Stegostoma tigrinum: one gene and its partner. The protein of the gene in region 1 interacts with the protein of each later gene in a pairwise test. Links are inferred from orthologs where the notes say so. Each region holds a gene or a part of one and is shown in the gene's direction. Other genes may lie near its edges. The genes, in order: rbm41 and RNA-binding Raly-like protein.

Evidence for each region.
Region 2: the proteins of rbm41 (region 1) and RNA-binding Raly-like protein interact in binary tests that used the Homo sapiens proteins (3 or more experiments, as listed by UniProt). The two-hybrid records come from large-scale screens. The link is inferred for Stegostoma tigrinum from reciprocal best matches to the Homo sapiens genes RBM41 and RALYL.

The regions. Positions count from the first base shown.
Region 1 is NC_081368.1:42,183,109-42,194,956, forward strand, and holds the start of rbm41 (RNA-binding protein 41), read left to right. Parts: upstream 1-7,301; 5' UTR 7,302-7,377; coding exon 7,378-7,385; intron 7,386-10,391; coding exon 10,392-10,511; intron 10,512-11,848. Other genes in the region: cytochrome c oxidase assembly protein COX11, mitochondrial, read right to left, coding at 4,283-4,597. UniProt on the Homo sapiens protein: May bind RNA.
Region 2 is NC_081358.1:84,350,627-84,361,900, forward strand, and holds the start of RNA-binding Raly-like protein, read left to right. Parts: upstream 1-5,738; 5' UTR 5,739-5,887; intron 5,888-6,866; exon of another isoform or gene 6,867-6,952; intron 6,953-8,400; exon of another isoform or gene 8,401-10,399; intron 10,400-11,274.

The DNA.
Region 1 (11,848 bases):
CTAAATGGCTAATTCCACACTGGAAGGTTTCTATACTCTCTCCGTGTGAACTCTGTAAATGATCAACACTGCATTTGGCACTTTATACTGTGGTAGAATAATTTCTGCTAGTTCTCGTGAAGCTCAGATTTGAGACCTGGCATATGTCATCCCTCAATTACATACAGCGTTTAATTTATTTGGGGTGAGGCAGGGAATTGCTCACGTGCCTGTATTTGTATCATAAGAGATTTTGCACGAGAACATAAGAACTAGGAGCAGGAGGGAATTCAGCCCCTCAAATCTCATATGATCATGTCTGATTTCATCTCAGCCTCAACTCCACTTTCCTGCCCACTCTCCAAGACCCTTTGACCAATTACTAATGAAAAATCTGTCTAAGTGCTCCTTAAATTTATTCAGTAGTCCAGCATTCACCACACTCTGGGGTGGGAATTCCAAAGATTCATCCATTGAGAGAAGTAATTATTCCTCATGTCCGTTTTAAATCTGCCATCCCTTACCCAAAAACTATGACCTCCCTTTCCAGTTTGGAAATATCGGCTCTATGTCTACTTTATTAGTGCCCTTTGTTACTTTGGAAAAGTGAGGTGTACCTCAATCAGATGTCACTTTTCCAAACTCCAATGACCAGAGGTCTGAGCTGCTCAACATTTCTTAATAAGGCAGGCTCTGGAATTCATCCAGCAAATTTTTCTATACTAACAAGAATCTCACCACTTAGGGGATTTGCAACAGTCGTTCAAGAGCAGTGTCTATTATCAGTACAGGGGCTTGGACGTGACCAGTTAGCTGCTTAGCTATTTTAATTTAAAAACAATACATGGGGAGGTGATGGCTTAGTACTATTATGGCTAAGCTATTTTCCAGAAATACAGCTAAACTCCTGGAGAGATCTTCCATTTGAATTCCACCATGGCCAGATGGTGAAATTCTTCAGCACAAAATATCTGGAATTAGGGATCTACTGATGACCATTAACAATTGTCTATTGTCAAAAAAACCCTCTGATTCACGAAACGTCCTCATGAAGCAAATCTGTCATCCTCACTTGGTCTGGCCTACATGCGATTCCAGACCCACAACGATGTGATTGACTCTCAAATGCCCACTGAAATGATCCACCAAGCTACCCAGCTCTATCAATCACTATAAAATCTCAACAAATAAATTAAACTGGAGGGACCACTTGGAATTGGCCTAGACACAGAAAAGACAATCGCAGAAACACCCCAATTAAATCTGTCAAGTTCTCCTAATGACTAAGGCTAGTGTCAAATTGGGAGAGTTGTCTCTCAGACTGGTCAAGCAACATAACAGTCTGTTTCCGTGACTCTTCAGTCTAATTCGTCCATGCCGACCAGATATTTTCAATTAATCTAATTCCATTTGCCAGCATTTGGCTCATATCCCTCTAATCCCTATTGAAGTACCCATCCGGATGCCTTTTAAATCTTGTAATTGTACCAGCCTCCACCACTTCCTCTGGCAACTCGCTCCAGACAGACACGACTCTCTGTGTGAAAAAGCTGCCCCTTAGGTCCCTTTTAAATCTTTCCCCTTTCACCTTAAACCTATGCCCTTTAGTTGTGAAAAACTCTAACCTGGCAGTAAGACCTTGGCTATTCATCCTATCCATGCCCCTCATGATTTTATAAACCTCTATAAACCCCTCAGCCTCCGAAGCTCGAGGAAAAATAGCCCCAGCCTATTCAGCCTCTTCCTGTAGCTCAAACGCTCCAGCCCAGCATCATCCTTGTAAGTACTTTCTGCATTCTTTCAAGTTTAACATCTAATTTCCCTGCTGTAGATAAAAATTGAATGCAGAATTCCAAAATTGACCTATCCAATGTGCTGTGCAACCGCAACATGGCATTCCAATTCCTACACTCAATGCATTGGCCAAGAAAGGCAAGGGTACCAAAGGCCTTCTATACTACTCTGTTGATCTGTGATGGCACTTTCGTGGAATTATGAACCTGCAACCCAAGGTCTCTATTCGGCAACACTCCCCAGGACCCTACCATTTAAGTCCTGCCCTGATGTGCCTAAACAAATTGCAGCACTTCACATTTATCTAAATTAAACTCCATCAACCACTCCTCCGATCAAGGTCACGTTGCACTACACCACCAATTTTGGTGTCACAGCAAACTTGCTAACCATACCACTTATATTCACATCCAAATCATTCATATAAATGGCAAAAAGCAGTGGAGCCAGCACCAAACCTTGCGGCATATTGCTGGTCACAGGCCTCCAGTCCGACCAACAGCACTCCACCAACATCCTGTCTTCTACCTTCAGGCCAATTTTGTATCCAAATGGCTAGTTCTCCCTGGATTCCATGCGATCTAACCTTGCTAATCAGTCTACCATGTGGAACCTTATAGAATGCCTTGTTGAAGTCCATATAGACAAGTCCACTGATCTGCCTTCATCAATCCTCTTTGTCACTTTCTCAAAAAAGAAATCACTCAAGTTACCCATGGAATCATGCCTTAAAGACAATTTCCCAAACACCACCATCACCATCCCTGGATATTTTCTGTCCTACCGGCAGTGCAGGGCCAGTAGAGGTGGAGGCACAGTGGTATACAGTTGGGAGAGATTTGCCCTGGAGTCCTCAACATTGACTCCGGACCTACGAAGTCGCATGGGCAAGGAAATCCCTTGCTGATTATGACGTACTGTCCTACCTCAACTGATAACTCTGTACTCATCCATGTTGAATAACACTTGGAAGAGGCAATGAAGGTGGCAAGGGTGCAAAACATGCTGTAGGTAAGAGATTTCAGTGTCCACCACCAACACTAGCTGAACAACAGGCCTGCTAATTGAGTTGGTTAAGTCCTAAAGGACACAGCTATTACAGTGGTTCCGTCACTGCCCACCACGGACTCAACAAGAGGGAAAAACATACTTGGCCTCAAGCTTACCAATCTGTCCATGGCAGTATCGACAAGAGTGGCAACTGTACAGTCCTTGTGGAGCTGAAGTCCTGTCTTCACATTGAGAATACTCTCTATTGTGTTGTGTCACACCATCACTGTTTAGTTCAACACATTTTGAAACATCAAATGGATCTAGCAACTCACAACTTGGCATCCATGGAGATGCTGTGGGTCATCAATAGCAGCAGAATCCAGCACAATTTGCAATCCCATGGCCTGGGAAATTCCCCACTAATTCCCCATTACCATCAGGTAAAGCGATCAACATTGCTTCAAATGGAGAGTACAGGAGCACATGCCAGGTGCAGCACCAGGCATACCTAAAAATGAGGCATCAACTAAGTGAAGCTACCAAACAGGACCACTTGCATGTCAAACAACATAAACAGCAAGCAATAACAGCTAAGTGATCCCTAACCAATGAATCAGATCTAAGCTCTGTAGTCCTGCCACATCCAGTTGGGAATGCTGATGGACATTGAAACAACTCACTGGACAACTGGAAGTACTCAATACATCAAAGGATGTGGGCCCTGACAATATTCCAGCAAAAGTATTGAAGAGTTACCACTGACCAGAAACTGGACTTGCCAGATAAACAGTGACTACAAGAGAAGGTCAGAGCCGCGGAATACTGCAGTGAGTAACTCACCTCCTGACTCCCTAAAGCCTGTCCACTATCTACAAGGCATAAGACAGGATGGAATACTCTCCACTTGCTTGGATGGATGCAGATCCAATAACGCTTAAGAAGCTTGACAACATCCAGGGCAAAGCAGACTGTTTGACTGGCACCACAAAGACAAGCATCCGTTCTGTCCAATACCGATGCTCAGTAACAGTTAGCAGCATGTACTGTTTGCAAAATGCACTGCAGAAATTCACCAAAGATCCTTGAAAAGCAGCTTTCAAACTCAAAACCATTACCTCCTAGAAGGACAAGGGCAGCAGACACAAGTTCAAAGTCACTCAACCATCCTGACTTGGAAATATATCATCATTCAGTCACTGCCGCTGGTCAAAATCCTGGAATTCCATCCCTAAGGATATTGTGGTCAACCTATAGCAGGTGGATTGTAGTAGTTCAAGAAGGCAGTTCATCACCACCTCCTCAATGACAACTAGGGATAGGTAGTAAATTCTAGTCAGCCAGCAGAACCCATGTCTCATGAGTGAATTAAATTTAAAGAAAAACAACTTTGCGGTGTGAAAAACAAGTAATTTGCACTTTACATTTGGCTTGTTTAAACAGATTTCTTTTTACATTTGTTAATGTCTGCTTATTCCGGGAACTTGGGCATTAGGGTCAAACAGAAGATTATACTGACCTGACAATAAAGTCTGTAGAGAGGTACAGCCGCATATGACATGCCAATCATTCCAACTGCTGTTGCTGCTATATACGTGAGTACGGTTTTATTCTTCTTCTTCCATGCTTCCTCCTGGCTCCGAGTGAAGGGATTATGGTTCTTGATACCATGCACCGGCTGTTTCAAAGTCAGATAACTTGGCCTCCAAGGAGTATACCGAATAAATACTGAATACAGTCTTTGTGAGTTAGACTGTTGTAGTCTTCGTGCACAGATATGACAAGAAGACATGACATACAATCTTGAGATTCTTGTCCAACAGAACAAAGTCATGCTGATTATTAGTCAGATTGCTGTGTTAATGTGTAATCTTTACTTCTTTAGTGTAAATGGCAAATAGCAGTCTTCCTGCAATATCTGGAAATCAAAACCAAACTGTTATCACATTTCCCTTTATTAGTGAACACATCACACATGAATCATAGCCTACAGTAAGGGATTATGTTCTTTTAGGGCCCAAAAATTTGTTCAATGTGGCATGCGTTAAGTTGGATGAAATGTTTTCCCCTAAAACAAACCTTATGAATTGAAACCGTAAGGCGATAATATTGGGTATTGCATAAATCTACAAATTATTTGTGCAAGGTTAATAAAATCTTAGAATGAGTTAAACAAATGCATAGAAAAAAGAAAGGAATTTAGATGAATGTTTAGATCTAAGTTGTGAGAAATATTAACTCTGCTTTTTACCAACAGATGCTGGCAGCCTGCTGAGTTTCTACAGCAATTTATGCTATTGGTACTTGCTTATACATCTGTTTTGTTAACATCAGAATACCGCAAAACACTTTACAGCTAACATAATCATAATAAAGTCTAGGCACTTTTGCTGGGTAGAAAAACCCCACAACCATTCTGTACGTAGCATGCTCCGTAAAGTATAAACAATTGGTTCTCTGGCAGAAAGCAGAAAGCAGAAAGTCAAAAGGATAGCAACTGGTGACAAGTGGCGATCCACAAGGGTCAGTGTTGGGACCACAACTTTTTATTTTTGCATTAATGATCTAAATGAAGGAACTGAGGGCATTCTGGCTAAGTCTGCAGATGATACAAAGATAGGCAGAGGGATGGGTAGTATTGAGGATGTGGAGAGGCAGCAGAAGGATTTGGACAGGTTGAGAGAGTTGGCAAAGAAGTGGCAGATGGAGTACAATGTGGGAAAGTATGAGGTCATGCACTTTGGTAAGAAGAATAGAAGCATGGGCTGCTTTCTAAATGGGAAGAAAATTCAGAAGTCTAAAGTGCAAAGAGACTTGGGAGTTCGAATCCAGGATTCTCTCAAGGTAAACCTGCTGGTTGAGTCAGTAGTTAGGAATGCAAATACAACTTTGGCATTTATTTTGAGAGGACTTGAATACACAAGCAGGGCTGTACTTCTGAGATTCTATAAGGCTCTGGTCAGGCCAAATTTGGAGTATTGTGAACAGTTTTGGGCCCATATCTCAGGAAAGATGTACTCGCCCTGGAGCAGGTTCACAGGAGGTCCGGTAGAATGGTCCCAGGAGTGAAAAGCTTTGCATATGAGCAGCATTTGAGGGCTCTTTACTTAATGGAGTTTAGAAGGACTGGTGGGTGGGGGTGGAGGATCTACATGGAACTCACAAAATACTGAATGGCCTGGACAGTACAGATGTTGGGAAGATGTTTCCATTGGTAGGAGACTAGGACCCGAGGGTACAGCCTTAGAGTAAAGGGGAGACCTTTCAGATCTGAGATCAGGAGAAACTTCTTCAGCCAGAGAGAGTGGTGAATCTAAGGAATTCACTGCCACAGAAGGCTGTGGAGGCCAGGTCATGGAGTATATCTAAGACAGAGATAGATAAGTTCTTGACTGTCAAGGGGATCAAGGATTATGGGCAGAAAGGAGAATGGGGAGGAGAAACTTAATTATCTATTATTGAGTGGTGGAGTAGATTCGATGGGCTGAATAACCTAATTTCTGCTCCTATATCTTATGGTCTTAAAGTGCTGGAGAAGCTCAGTTGGTTTGGGAGCTGTGAGACAGTGTTAACATTACGAGACAGATATGACTTCTTCAGAGAAACTCTTTTAGTAACGTGATACTGGAGAATCTGTTTTTCTGGTGTTAATGAAGGGAGTTAGTATTAATTGAACAGGCTAGGAAGTAAGAACACCCTTCAAGCTTTCCGGGACAAAAAAAACTGCTCTAGAATTGTATACGTTCACTGAGAAAGCTGTTTAACATCTCATCCGAAAATCATGAGGGGCATTACAGTTGTATAGCTGTGATAATGGGAGCTGCAGATGCTGGAGAGTTCAAGATAAAGTGTGGAGCTGGATGAACACAGCAGGCCAAGCAGCATCTCAGGAGCACAAAAGCTGACGTTTCGGGCCTAGACCCTTCAAAAATTGTATAGCTAACCCGGAGATGGGCCTGACTAACTCGATGTCGGAACAAGGAAGAGACGCTCTCATTACCACTTGCAAAGTTCAAGATTTAATAATTTTCCATTTAACAGGGCCAGACAAATGGAAATGACTGTACTTAATATAGCCCAGACAACGAGCACAGCATTGTTATGAATATTCGAAGGCCTGCCCCACGACATTGAGATTCCCAGTGAGAACAACTAATTTACACTAACCCACATTGTCCCGGCCACAAACTCCATTCATTCAACCTCGCAGCTCCTTCTCATCAATCAGACGGAGGGGTTTGATCCCAGGCCCAGGCCCAGGGACACTCAAAATAAGTTACAGCCCCACAACCTCTCTACTACAAGGCCACAACATTACAGACTAATCATACGATCCACTTTAATTCAGTGGGGAAATATATACATCTCCAAAACGAATACCGTGTTCTGATAGTTGATCTTCTCCCACACAAAGCAAAACCTTTTTAACTATACTTCAGTTTCCGGAACAGCTATGAGCAATACTACATTACCCAGAATGCCAATCGATCGTCGCGCATGTGTAAGTGGCTTCAGATCACGTGCAGTCCCCTGCGGCAAATAGGACTGAGGCCGAACGACAATCGGCGCATGCGCGGGGTTGCTATTGTGTGAGTGCGGAGTATTGGAGTGAAGATGCGCAGGTAAATTAGAGAGAATAAGTATTCAGGTTATTACTGGGTTTTTACACATTACGTGCTTATAGTTAATGGGATAGGGGTTTCTGGACGATGAAAACACAGTTATTGATTCCGTTCCTGTCTGATGAAGGTCATTTTCATTGTTGGAAGAAGCCGAGGAACAGAGAGAAATGGCTGCCTATGGGGCTCTTGAAAATAGCCCTAATAGAAAAGAGTCGGAGTTATTACATCACTAACAGTCACATCTAATGCTGTTCAAAATACAAAATGAAACGTTTCGTTTAATGGTAACCTATATATGTAGCGAATAGGAGATAACAAAGTGTGGAGCTGGATGAACACAGCAGGTCAAGCAGCATCTTAGGAGCACAAAAGCTGACGTTTCGGGCCTAGACCCTGTTTATCTCAAGGCGTTACTTTCTTTTGTTTGCTCGGACGAATTCTGATGTCGTGCACTACTATTTGCAGCCAGTTATGATTTACTAAAACCTTCAAGATTTGCCGATTCCCGGTCATACTGAGCAAATGTTTAACACTTGTGCACTTTTATTATCAAAACGCTTTGTCTTCATTCAACCTCGATAATTCTGTTCCAAACATTTTCCAGATTGGTCATTTTAAAATAGTTGATCCTGCTTGTTTCTAGCATCTGGAAAGTAAAATAAGGGAATACGGATTGAGAATCTGTTGTGCTAATGCTCGTCAAACGTCAGGGAAGATGCATCTGTACGTTAAAGGGAGTTCTTTTTATAAGCCTGACAGTGAAAAGAAAGGGGATGGTTAGTTTAGTTGATTCGTTGTTGACGTTTTTCTGAGCCACAGAATGGGATTTTGAAGTGAACTTGGGTCTCTCTCCGTTTGGTCCTGGTCCTTGAAGGAATACAATGGTTAAAACATTACTTAGAAAAACTGCCAGGAAAATGGCACAAGATGAACTATCTGCCGACAGAGACAAAGACCTTCTGTCTTTGTTCAGTGCACTTATGATTGAAAGTGTAAAGACCGTTGTTAGTGTCTTTGTTCTAAAAGTGAAGATAATGTAATTACTGTAGTACCAATTCGTTTAGTGAGTATCCCCACTATATATGTTCCATAAAGCTTATAGCCCAATTCAATCAAACCTGGGACTATTGGCATTGGCTATTATTTGTTGACGAGAGGAGTGAGCTTCAGTTTGGGGAGACGATAAATTATTAATCCAGAAACTCAGCTAATATACTGGGAACAAAGCCTTGAATCCCACCAGGGCAGATAGTAGGTTTGCATTCAATTTTTAAAAAAAATTTGGGATTAGGAAATGTAATGATTCAAGTGCACCTAGGGACAGGTAATAGATGCTGGCCAGCCAACAATGCTCAAGTAAATTTTAAGAAAGATTTCTGAGGAAGGGTCACCAGACTCAAAACATTAACTTTGACTTCTCTTCACAGATGATACCAGACCTGTGGAGCTTTTCCAGCAAAACATCTGTTTATGTTTCTGATTTACAGCATCCACGGTTCTTTGCTTTTTTTTAAAAGCAGGTATCCTGGGAACAGAGAACAAAAATAATCAACCAGAGTTTCCACTTTTCATTTTTGGAGTGATGCCTGATGAGAGCCCTAGTGTATGGCTATTTGCTGAAGATGGAGTAGACTTAGCAAAATGTTTTGTTTCTAATAACTTGCATTTTTAAGAAGGCAATAATAGACACTGCTGTTTCTGAAAGAGCAAATGATAAATAAATGAAGACTATTTGCGAGTAGAATTAGATGAATAAATCACACACAAAAGATACACAATTTATTTAAGCCATTAGAAAAATAGTTTTGCTAAATTTATTAAAAGGATCAATCTAATAAAATAGGGTATTAGTGAAATCACTTCATTCCTCAGGACTGTTGAGAATCTAGGCTCAGTATTCTCAGTCTCACTTTATTGGATAGTCTGCCTATTTTAGGAATGAGTCTGGTGAACCTTTGTTGCAGTCCATCTCTGAAATTTTTTTTTTATTGTAATTAATAGTAATAAATGTAGTCCTGTGTTGCAGCTTCACAAGGTTGATACATAATTTTTAGTTTTGTCCGAATTGTTGTTCCTGGCACGGCCTCCTGCCTTTATGGTAATGGTAGATTAGGAGCTGTGCTGCGTTACAGATTGTGGTTGCAAAAAACTTTGTACTGCTGAAGGCCCATAGCACTTCATGGAGGCCCAGACTTGAGCTGGTAGATCTATTCAAAATCTTTCCCAGGGTGGTACACAACATATAGGACAGTATCCTCAATGTAATCCATAACTTAATATATGACAATGGCTGAAGGTAAGAGCAAGAGAAGTTCCTCGTCAGCCATTTGACGTAAAGGAATTGGGGTCTGTACCACAACTATCCACAGCATGAGTTTCCAATATACATGTACATGTGGACATTACCACATCAGTCTGGACGTCTTGGAAATGCAGACAGGGAGAGAGGTGATAGTTTTAGCCATGTCTGAATCTCATTTCTATCAATAACACTGTGTTCAATCTCACTTCTGCTGTGGATTTGGGTCCTGTTGCCATGCCATCCCTATTGTGATGCTGTTGGTTGGACTAACCTTTGGCAGAGGAGAACTGTTTAAGAAATAATATTAGAACTTATTTCAGAATTCCAGACAGAACTTAATTTTTTGAATGCTAGCTCAAAAGTACAATCGATTGGTCTTATTCACTGAGTTGATTAAAAAGATCTACGTTAGAACAGCTGAGCAGAAAAATCACATTGATTAATGTCAGTCTGACAGATTAAACAGTGAATGTTTAGCATCTCTTGGCTGTCAGTGAAATACATGCATATTTTAACTTGAAAATATTATTAGGAACAAAGGAAATTAAGCCTTTTGTGAAGCTGAAATAAGGATCTCACTGTTCTGGTTCTTATTGCTAACTTCCAGTTTCCAAATTCAAAATTACATATTAATTGTGGCCTTTTTGCATTTTAATCCTGATGTAATGTAAGCAAGACACCTCTTATTCCCTTTTAAAATTTAGGGTTAGTAGTCGTATAAGTGGTGATGATGATGTTGAGCCAGAGGAGCTGGAGACAGAAGGAGAGAGGCAATTGCAAAACCTCTTGAAGCACCAGTTAGACACAAGCGTAACACTTGAAGAGTGAGTATTGGAACATTTCTTCAGTGATGTTTTTGTATGAATAAAACCAAGTAAGAAAGTAATGTTTGTGTACATTTTAATGCATTGTAGTCCTTTCAAAATTATGACAAAATGGAAAATGCTGGAAAACTCAGGTCTGTCGGCATTCAGAGAGAAGACAGAGTGCTTCTTGTTGAATCCCTTTATGCTGATTGATGTTCTATGCAATTCCAGCATTTTCTGTTCTTACTTCGTATTTGCAATTCTGGATTATTTTTTGTTTTTATTTCTACAGGTATTTAAAGGCTTACCTCTTTTTTTTTCCAGTTACCTCCAGGCTGCACAAATAAATCCCAATTTAGAATGAAATCTCAAATAAAGATTCTGTCACATAATTTCATTGTCTTTTTCGAAGGTTTAAATGGTGGAATCACCATAAAGTGGTAATTAATGCATTCAGAATTCCTGTATTATAGCAACTTTCTCAACTTGTGCTGTTAAACAAACAAAATGTTATTTTATTTAGAGGCATTAGTTGCTTTCATTTACCCAATTACACTAATCAATGCAATTTTATAGTTTTTTTCCAAAATGTAAGATTACCAAATCATAACAAAGAACAAAGAAACCTACAGCACAGGAACAGGCCCTTCGGCCCTCCAAGCCTGCACCGATCAAGATCCTCTGTCTAACCTGTCATCTATTTTCTAACGGTCTGTGTCCATTTGCTCCCTGCCCATACATGTATCTGTCCAAATATATCTTAAAAGACGCTAACGTGTCTGCGTCTACCACCTCCGCTGGCAACGCGTTCCAGGCGCCCACCACCCTCTGTGTTTTTATAAAAAAAAATCCATAGGAAGATCTTCCATTCCAGATGGCAGCAACGAAATGTGTGCCATTTCCTGTAGTATGGGCAGAAGTAGCTGGCTCTGTTACCTTTTAACATAGTGAAATAATCTGATTATTTAAATTTGCTTACAAATGCAACAGTGTGGTTACAAGTGGGAGTTCACACATTGATGTTTTCTAAGTGTATCTTTGCTTTGCGGTAAAATGCAAAAATGAAGGGGTTGTGGATTTATGAATCCTGCCTGAAAAGAAATGTGTGTGGCTTGGTTGTCAAAGGTTTAAAGGGAGGCTCAGGATATTACTGGGAAGAAGGTGTAAAACGTGGCAAGGGCATCTATGCTGGCTGTGGGTATTTTGTTAGCTGCAAGTTTCACAAGGATGTTTTCAGAATGAGGTTTTATAAACTCTTGAAATTTAATCTGAATTTAATTTCAAGTTGAAATGGAGTTCAGTGGATCTAAGCAATAACTAATCAAACGAGCCATTTTGCAGCAAACAGCTCAATA
Region 2 (11,274 bases), on another chromosome or scaffold:
GTTCTGTAGGAAAACTAAACGCGCTACAGCTCACAGTATAAACCTTTATTTTGGAACAGTCAACATTTTTATTGTTGTTAGGAAGTTTCTTCAGTTACTCAGCATGCCAAAGTTGGAGTCTACTAACTCTGAACTTACAGGCAATCCATTCCATTTAAAAATGAAAATTTTAGCAGCTGCAAACTCCAGGAAAAATATCTTAATGTTTAGCTAAAATTTTCTGTGTCTGAAATGTCCCTTTAAAAGTTTAATTTATTGCAGATCTAATAAAATGTCAGTATTACTGACTGACTTTGTTACATTGACAGTAGTACCTTTATATTTACAGTACACCCCCAAACAAATTCAAATGTCTCTAAATACTTCATCAAAGTTATAAAGTGAAATTAGGCATTGGGTCCAACTGGAGATATTTGATCAGATGACCAAAATCTTAGTTAAAGAGATGTATTTTTAAAATTGACTTAAAGGGAAAGCACAGCAGTAGAGAGGGAATTGTGGAACTTAAAGACCAAGCAACTGAAGGTATGACCACCAACATGGGAGGGATTAAAATCAGAGATAGCCTAGAGGCCAGAATTGGATGAGCACAGAAATTTCAGTGGTTTTTCAATGTGAAGGAAGTTGCACTGATGGGGAGAGATGAGGTCATTGAAAAATGTGAAATATTTTGAAATCAATGGCAGCATGGTGACTTAGTGGTTAGCACTGCTGTCTCTCAGTGACTGGGGTTCGATCCCACTCTTGGACAACTTTCTGCGTGGAGTTTGCACATTCTCTCCATGTCTGCATAGGTTTCTATCAGGTCTGGTTTCCTCCCAAAGTCCAAAGATATGCAGGTTAGGTGGATTGGCCATGCTAAATTGCCTGAGGTGTTCAGGGATGTGTACGTTAGATGGGTTGCGGGGAAAGGGTAGGGGGATGGGTCTGGGTGGGATGCTTTGAGGGTTGATGTGGACCTGTTGGTCTGAAGAGCCTATTTCCAAACTGCAGGAATCCTGTGATCCAACATCTCACTTGATCAGCAGCCAATTTAGCCTCAGGAACCACAATAGAAATAAGAGAGTAAGACAAGGTACGAGGTAAGACATGAGCTGCAGACGTTTGGATAACCATAAGGTTCTGGAGGCTAGAATGTGAGAGTATGTTGGATTGACCAAGTCTAGGGCTATAAAGGCATGAGGGTTTGTGCAACAGACAAGCTAAGGCAGAGTCAAAGTGGATGATGCTACAGAAGTGAAAATAGGTGGTTTGGTAATAGTGTAAATATGCTGTTAGAAGTTCATCTCCAGGTCAATACAGTAGCAAGGAAGCAAACATGAGTTTTACAAAATGTTCCCTTCACAAAGGGGAAAGGAGCACAAGCTTAGCTGTCCACTGTTACAGAAAGAGGTGATGGTATGCACTGTCATTGTTAAATATCAGAGTTTGAATGCTGAGTTAAGCATATACTTTTCTGGTCAGAGTTTTATTCTAGCTCATATATCACAAAATTCCCAGCACATATACATTACATGCAGTCATGTTCTCATCCAATTGCCCCTTCATAAACACAGAATCATCGCTTGTTTCCTAGTTCCACTTGGCCTCATCAACTCCTGCTAGACCCTACTTGATATTAACAGATTCCTTTTCTATTCATTTAAAATAAATTCATAAACAACAACACTAATAATAAACCAACAAAACATATATGCAGAAATAGCAACATATTTTATGCCTTTTTTCTGAAATGTATATTCAAGTTCCAAATGTCATTTTCCAGTATTTCTATTAGTTTCTAAAAGCATGCTCCATTTTTCTTATGTATATTTTCCCCATTGACCTGCTCAGGAATACTATTACACACCTCTGGAGTAGGCGGGGCTTGAACCCAGGCTCTCCTGGTGCGGGGATAGGGACGCTAACACTGTATCACAAGAGCATCTACTTGCTCTATGCTTCATAAAGCAATCAGATGGCTGACAGCTGCTACCCACCCATTTCAATCTGGGGGTCTCTCTGTCCTTTAGCCTCACTTTTAAAGCTGCAATATCAATCCTGTCATTTTTCATTAGCTCAAAAATCACATGACACTGGGTTATAGTCCAATGATTTATTTGAAAACACAAGCTTTCAGAGTCTTTTTCCTTATTCAGATGTTAGCAAGAGAGGTGGCATCAGATGCAGAATTTAGAAGCAAAAGATCAAAGGGTCATAGAACTGATGTGAATGCATTGAACAAACCTAAGATGGCCATTAAATCTTTAATTAGTTCAAAAGGTGATGCAGGTTTTGACTGATTAATGTGCAAATCCCAGAATTTCTTTCAAGTCACTGCCTCGAGATACCTAAAGGTTTTATCAGTATTACTGAGGTGATATCTCAGGTTAGACAATGCATTTTAGGTGTGAAGCCTTGTTTAGAATCTGTCTGTGCTTTAACTTGGAGTCAAACTGGTTTTATTTCCAAAGTAGGAATTTATAAAATGCTACATTGACTGTCAACAAATTATGTGCTTTTTGAACAAAATAGAATGTATCTGCAATTACAAATCTGCAAATGTGAATTCACCCCATAGATCTACGTATGTCTGTGAAAAATGGACAATATTTCTCACAAATTATACTTCACTTGCCAACTCTTTGCTCACTCACTATGTTCCTTTGTAACATTGTTACGTCTTCTTTGTAACTTACTTCTCTAACCTATTTGTATCATCAGAAAATTTAGCAAGATAAACTGACTAATTTTCCTTCCCTCAGTTAAAAGTTGGACAATGGTGAAATTTTAAAACATTGAAATTAACCAGAATGCACTATTCTTAACTGAAAAATTGAAGTGTTTTCCAGGAAAGTAGTTTATAGGAATTTATGAAATAATGAGAGGTAAAGATAGAGTTAATGGTAATTGTCTTTTCCCTAGGATGGGGAATTTCAAGACAGAGGGGTACATTTTTAAAGTAAGAGGACAGAGATGTTAAAAAAAGACATAAGAGGCACAGTTTTTATAAAGTGCGTGGTTTGAGTGTGGAATGAACTTCCTGACAAAGTGGTGGATGCAGGTACAATTACAATGTTTAAAAGACATTTGGATGGCTGCATGAATAGCAAAGGTTTGGAGGGACATGGGCCAGGAGTAGGCAGGTAGCTTTCGTTTAGTTTAGTATTATGTTCAGCATAGACTGGTTGGACCAGAGTCTGTTTGCGTGCTGTATCACTCCATGACATTTACCTTCTCTGTAGTGCTAGTAGGCACGGGAAAGGCAAAAGATACTATTTGTAAGGATTATGAACATCCTTAAACTAGCTAATTATAGTTGTGATCTCTTGAAAAAAAGCTACTGATGAGGGCAACATGCCCATCAAGTACTTTCCATCAACAATGTATCATGTAAAAACAGAATATTACTCTGTGATACTTGCAAATATGATCACCAATATCTGTTTTATTATTTGTATTGACTATTTCCTCTGTCAGTACTTTTCAAATGCATCCCCCTTGTGACCCCACTTGAAAATGGTCACGACCCCGCAATGAAATGCATTTGAGTGGGAAGGTGGCTGGATAATTGTAATTAATGGTTGGAGTTCTGAGGTGGCCATTACTGCTTTGAATTTCAGGACATCAAAATAGATCAGCTCACGACCCACTTGAAGAAGCTCTGGTCTAAGTACCTCAATTAGCTTATCGGAAATAAAGTGTATTTCAAACATTGAAAGCTTTGCCACTGTATTTCAATACGCAACAAACCAATACAATTCATTTATTGGAGATAGTGGGCGTTTGTTGAATTAAAAACGTACGATATGTGCGAAGTATGCAAATGTTTGCTATCAAAACCTGCGTTTTTTTATAAATCAAAAATTTGCAAACGGGTTATACCAACATTTTTTATTACTAATTTCTCCATTGAATATTTTAATACAAAAGGGCTTTTGTAAACTTGTCACGCTGTAATTACCCTACCCCACCAGTTGAGGCATTACATTGACCACGTGCAAAAAGGCTGATTTATACTGTGGCGTATTTACAATGGACATTTTCAAATTTAAATAAATTATAATTTATGTTGGAAATGTTAAATATAAGATCCAATTACGTCTTTGCATCCTGGTAGAATTTACCAGGCTGTCGCAATCCACCTCAGGTAGTGATAGTTGTAGGTTTTCACTCTCTGCAGCGCCACGGAAGGTCGACTTGAAGCGATAAAACCAATAGTCATTCTCACTGACGGTACTTTATAAGTCGTAATATTTTTTACGCAGTCTCTCCAGTAATAAAGGCACATGTAGAGCATTTTTTTTCATTCGTGTCTGTGATCAGAATTCTCATTGCCTGCAAATAGTTGAGTTACTTTGACTTAAATGTCCGCCTTAGTGATTAAAATACACCGAGGCCAGTTTGTTTCAAGTCATTCAGTACTGTATGATCAATCATCCAAAAGTGAATGTAACTGGAGAAAGTAGGAAATGCATGAAGGATAAAAACACATTAAAAGATTGGGGAAGATTATGCCTAACTCGATCGGTTTATACATATATACCAAACAGTGTAAGGCATTCTTATATATAGTGGAGATGACAAAGCCAAGGACAGTACATATATGTACATCTGTTATGGAGGGAAAATGGTGAGAATCATGCCATTGCCTTCATATCCGGAATCTAGTTAGTATCTTTGGTTTTTTTTTCATGACGAGACTACAGGAAAGCTGATAAAACCAGTGGCTTTCTGACCTCCTGTATGATACTTTCACGTTGTTTTAAATGACGAATTCTTGTTCTGTGTGTAATGTTGCGGTATAATTACGATGCTATTTCAAAGGTAGGTCGGAGCAAGGCAGATTTCTAATAGTTTTAACCGTATGCTGTTGTGACTTGTAAAAGTTTTCTTTGATTTCAGGAGAAAACTGCTTGAGATTATTTTTTAATGTTTTAATTGTCCTTCTTTGGTAAAAGTGTTGTTGTTTTCTGTTGCCTTACGTGTGCCATATTCCGGCTGTCGTCCACCAGAAACGTATAAGAAGGTGGGCAGTGTGAAACGTACTATGTTTAATATATTAAAATCCGATCAACAAGAATTTTTAAAAATGAAAACACAGTCCATTTGCTTCACGTCCGCGTACACACTGCCAGACAATGTCGCCACTTGTTTCTCCTGCCCAACAACATCCGCTTACAACTAATTATTCCCAAAGAAAGGCTGGCAGTCCGAGCTTTCGACCAAAACTGCGTTAATAAGTAAATAAGCCGCCCACAAGTAAGATTTTGTTTTCAGAGAGAGAGGGGGGAAGTAAAATAGGTGACTGATTTTGTAACACTCCCACCAAGTAAAACAAAATGCCTGTCCCTGAGTAAGGTGGACGGTCCAATAAAAATGATCATCTCTCGCAGGTATTCGCAAAAGGTTGCAGCATCCGTCACTGGGGCTCCCAGCCCTCATCACCCGGCTTTCTACACTACCACCCCCTCTCGACACTGTCAGCGCTCCCACCCTCACACCGTCCCTGTCTCCAAACCCGACAGTCTCCCGGTAACCCAAGCGGACTGCACCATATGATTTTGTTTTTCAGGGATGCGCCGCTCGCTTTCAAAGGGGGAACATGCCAATTGCAGCCGCTCGGCGGTGAGGGAGAGGAGCGGGGTGTAAAACGCCGGGGTGCGGGCTCGCGCTGGAGGCAGACGAGTCGGGTCGGCCTTTGATCTTGGGTGGAGGAGGTTGCGGGGGGAGGGAGGTTGGGGGAGACTGGGGTTGGATTTGTGCCTCTGACAGCCTTTGGGCATTGCTGGGAGCAGGCTCTCTCGGATCACGTGCCTTTGCCTGAGGCTGAGGGCGCTTCATTACTCCTTCCACCGCCATATTACAAACTTCAGTATTTTTCTCTCTCTTGAATTTTTCCCGCTCGGTGAGTAGGTTTTTTTACTATCTGAAATTTTTCAGTGCTTTTTTTTTGTCATTTTCATTCCTTTTTAACTACATTTTTTTTTAAAAAAGAAAAAGACAAAGATCGAAAGAAATTGTGCCGATGAAGCATGGTTTATAAAATCTATTTTGCGGAATAAGTTCTTGCATGCTGTATAGTGTTAAGTCAGTGACGGCGTTGGCAAAAAAAAGGAACTGTGTATATTTTGTAATTTTTTTTGTTACTGTTGCCAGCCCCCCGAGTTTTTTTTTCAATACGCATGCATAGCGGTAGTATTTTTCTCTCAAGAAAAGACTCCTATTGTGTTGATTCTATTTGCAAAGCTTTATTGGTGTATTTTTCCATGCCGGTATTAACACAATTTGTGTGCTTCGCTTGGTTGAGCTGAAGTGACAAGCTACCAAAAGCACGATTTGAAGCAAGTTTTATTTGTCGACAACAGCAAAAGTGTTTTGCAGACTTTCCTACAACGCAATTTTTTTCGAAAACAGGAAACTTTTCTCTCAGCTTGTTGCTTTTTTTCTTGAAATAATTTTCCTAAAGGTGTACTTTATTTCAGACGGTTGCGGTTTTTTTTTAAAACAAAAGAACAGATCTGTTTTCCAGTTGTTGGATTTTTAAAAACAATTAATTCCCCCCCCAAAAAAAAGTTGTGGATGGCTGTGGAAGTTCTTGAGGGGCAAATGAAGTACGTTATTGTTTATACTGTTTACAGAAGGCACGTCGACACATCAGCAAAGGTACTTACTTCAGGGCCAATAACAAATGTCATCAGAAAAGCTGGGAATAAAATATTGATAAAGTAAATAACGTGTGTTTTATTTAATGTTTTCTTCAGTGACTAGTCTGCCTAACAGGTCCATTGCACTGTAGAGCGTGTGTTATGTCTGATTTGCCTGATACGTAGAATCCTTTTTGCGATATTGCCGAATATTACTATGATTTCATTAAATTGCTTCAGTGAAAACTTAATGCTTTCCGATGAAGAGCTTCTGGGAGCAGTGATGGAAAATCAGTGCATCATGTTTCTAACAGTGCTACTACAACGTAAGTAAAGGTGGTCTGATGCCTCAGGCGACAGCATGCATTGCAATGTTTGACATTACTTATATGTGCATTCCGCTTGTCATATAGTAGAATTGCACGTTCTCCCCTTTTTTTAAATCACCAGTGATTTCATTGAAAACAGTACCGTTCGGTGTGTTTTCGTAAAATAACGTGGCCGGGAGTATTCTTGTCTAAAATTCAGTCCTTGTACGGAAAGGAATGTGCCAGTCGAAGGGATAACAAGCCCGTTTGATATTGCAGAAGTTTAGAAAGTTTCAACATTTTCTAAACAAAGCGATAGCTGAGCATTCCTATTTGGCGCGAATTTATAATTTCAGTCAAACCTTCAACGTCAGATTTTCATTGACCAGGTAGGAAAAAAATCTAATAAGATTTAAAAGATAACGTTACAGGGATTTGACCCGGTTACACCTATCGATATGAAGAATGGCCTGGCACCTTTTTTGCTTTCTGCAGACACTACCGAGAAGATTTACTATTCAGATGTAGTTTATCTTTCACGACGTCCCACCCCCGACACAGCACAAAAAAGGGCTGTTAGCTTCAGTTAGCTCTCGTTTTGCTGGTTCATAAGCCGTTTACGCCGCTTCTGTGCACTGCTCGAGCAAAAGGTTCACATTAGTTACCACAGGATTTGCAAACCAAGATTTAACCGTACTGCAGTCATTCTAAACAGCGTTCGGTATTGTCTAGTTGTTAAAAAGATTGTTCCACAACGTGTCTAAAAAAATCAAAACACCTGCTGGCTTATGTTTGTTTACTGTTGTAAAGATAGTTATGGAATTCACAACAGTAAAAATAAGCCTTTTGAATCAGCCAGGCTAAATTGGTTTTTGCAGAATGTGATCTTACTTGGAAGATAAAATTCCTTTGGTGAATTTCAGCATTGTTGTTGAGTTTCCAATTGATCTCCAAAGGTTTGAAACAGTTCAGTGTGGTCAAGTTATTCCATTTGTAGTATATTGATGCTGCTGAATGTTTTCACGCGGCACAGTATCATGCCAATTCTTGACTATTCATCAGAAGCCACCAATCTTCATGCCTGAAGATGAAGTGTAGGTACATATAGTAATTGCCATTAGTAATGTCACACAGAAACTAAGGTGCTGTTATTATAGTGTTAACACTGACCACGTGAATGCTATATTGGTTGTTTGCAGTAGCTGTTATCAATGCAGTAAACAAAGTGACACACAGTTAAGTTGTTAAATTCAATGGCAAGATTTGGTTAAATATTCCCCTTTTAAGCAAGGCTAAAGCTGGTGAAATATGAACACTTTATTTTCCTTCATGTAAATACCTTAATTAACACTGAATTTCCAGTCCTAAGATTTGAGGAACATAAAGCTAGCTTTAGATATTCAACACATTTAATATGACATATTTCTAGAATGTAAAATAATGCACTTTCTTTTCTTTTAAAAAAGTCGTCCTTCGGGATCTAAATGCTAACGGACTGAGAGGTCAGGTTCACAAAGACGGACTGATTTTCTGTGGGATGGTGTTTGAAGAGCCGTATGATGTGGGATAAGCTATAAAAATCTTCCAAAGTACTTGATGATAATCAAGATGAATAAACATAGCTGAGAGGGAAAAATTGCTCAAGAATGAATTAGTTTCTCTATAGTCTGCTGTTGTGATTAAACATTCAGTTTAAAAGAATGGACAAAAGCAAACCTTTTCTCCTTCATATTCAGTGGTATTAGCATTGCTGAATCCTTGACCACCATTGGCCAGCTGGTTAACTAGACCGGTAATATAAATACTGTGACTACAAAGAGTAGATCAGAGTCCGGGAATACTATGGTGAACAACAACTCATTCCACTTGCCTGGATGCACGTGGCTGCAGCAACTCTGGACACAATGAAGGTCTGATTAATTGCCGCTCTTAAGCATTCACCACTTCCACCACTCTGCACAGTGAATGCAGTGTGGACCATCTAAAAAGTGCATTACAGCAACTCAGCAAGACTGCTTCAACAGTATCTTCTAAAGGCAAGACATCCATTTAGACGAAGGGCAGCAAAAAGTAGAAAATGCTGAGAAACGTAACACAACTTACAGCGTCTGTGGAGAAACAGTTCTCCTGTTTAGAGTTCAAAAATACTCTTCCTCAGAACAGTTACGAAGAAAAGTCAGTTTGGACTGAAAATGTTAACTATTTTTGCTCTCTGCACAGATGATGCCAGACTTGCTGAGATTTTACAGCACTTTTTTTTTAAACTTCAGACTGTAGCATCTGCAATATTTTGTTTGTGTCACTTGCAAATTGTGCAGTATACCGATTTTTAAGCTCTGTTATCATCCCTTCACTGTTACGTCAGTATTCTTGATTTGATTTGCCTTTCAATAATGGAGGTATTCTTAACCCTACATGGATGGCAACTGCTGAAGAATGCTTGCCTTACCACAGTCCTAAAAATATATTCAGAAAATATATTTTAAAGCTGTTGGTAAAGTGTTGATATGATGAACTTTGAGATCAAGATTATGATACAAATGGGAAAAAAAATGTTAGCTAAAGTCGACAGCATTGTTTGATTATGACTTAAGATAATTCACTATGAAGCATGAAGATCACATTCCCTCTCTATCTAGAAACATGGAAGTGAGAAGAATGAAGAATAGAGCTAATCTCTCAAATGATTTAGTAGGGTATGAATTAAGCTGAAGAATTTCAAGCAGAATAGTGCCTCTGTGTTTGGCTGAGAATCATTGAGGATAATACTAGTCTCGGGTATACAGGATGTAGAATATTAAATTATAAGTCATTTTAAACCAGTGGATGAGAAAATTTACTATCATACATTTTTCATTACTGGTGAAGACAAATTTATGATTGAAGAACATAACTTTACTTTGGACTTGCCAGTAAAAAAAATCTAAAACTGTAATGACTTGGATTTATGAATAGACATTGGTATTATTAAACCTAATTGATATGCCAGTGAACCATGAATGGCTAACACTAATCTGTGATAAGGTCAGAGGAAGCTGCAGTGTATTTGACAAGGATTAACAGGAAACAGAGGCAAGGGATAGCCACTTGAGTTGTATAGATAACAGGTAACCAGAGGCAGAGCTGCTCCAGACAGAACAATCTTGTTAGGCTGTCAGACCAGATAGCAGTTGTTCTGAAGGTGACTGAGGCATGCTGAGAACAGTGATAAATGTGGCAACACTTGGAAAAGGATTCAGTTTTTGTAGTGAAAAGACTAATATGGTCCCAGGTGGATTGTTGAGTGACAGGATTTTACATCAGAATGCAGATGAAGATGTGAAAATGCACGCAACTGGCTCTCACTTGTATTTCAGCATTACTGCAGAGCTTTTAGTTCAAAGAAACTTCTGTTTCATCATGAGGTATAAGGAGACTTGTCCAATTTCAAAAGTTGGCTGCTAGAAAGAACATTGTACGAGAAAGGTAAGAAGATTAATTTTGTTATAAATACAAAGTTTAAAAGTTTTGGGACAGTTCAAAATTTTGGAGAAGATAGAGAAATGAAAGAGTTGTGACCTATTCTCAGTAAAAACCGAAAGAACTGTGGATGCTGTAAATCAGGAACAAAAAAACAAAGTTACTGGAAAAGCTTAGCAGGTCTGGCAACGTCTGTGACGGAAAAAAACAATTAACGTTTCAGGTCCAGTGATCGATCCTTCACAGATGCTGCCAGAACTGCTGAACTTTTGTAGCAACTTTGTTTTTGTGACCTATTCTCATCTCTGTTCATAGTAAGCCGAGATGATTTATTTTGTTTTACTGGGAAGAAGGTACAAGATATTTATAAATGATGACCAGAACAACTGTGCTGATGGTGGATGGATTGTCTGTGTCTCACCTCCCAGAGAAACATTTGGGATGTTAGGCTTTATAAAAAAATTTACGTTTTAAACTCTCCAGTTAATTTTAAGGTAGAATTTAGTTTTTGTGGTCGGGTAGGGGACACTAAAGAATAGCTAGGTAGAAAAGAAGTAAGCCGTTATTAGGTGAAAATTGCCGGAGGTGATTTGGTGATAGAAAAAGCTGTTAAAAGGGGGGAAAAAAAGGCAAGCCACTCGTGACATTGGTAGTGTCCCTACCGCTGAGCCAGCAGGTCTAGGTTCATAATCCATCTGCTCCAAAGGTATGTCATAACATCTCAGGACAAGTTGATCAGAAAATATCAATGTAAGATGTTACTATTGTGGCGCAGTGGTAGTGTCTGAACCTCAGCTAGCAGGCTCCGGTTCAAGCCTTACTTGTTGCAGAGGTGTACCATAATATGTCTGAACAGGTTGATTAAAATATCTCTAACTTAT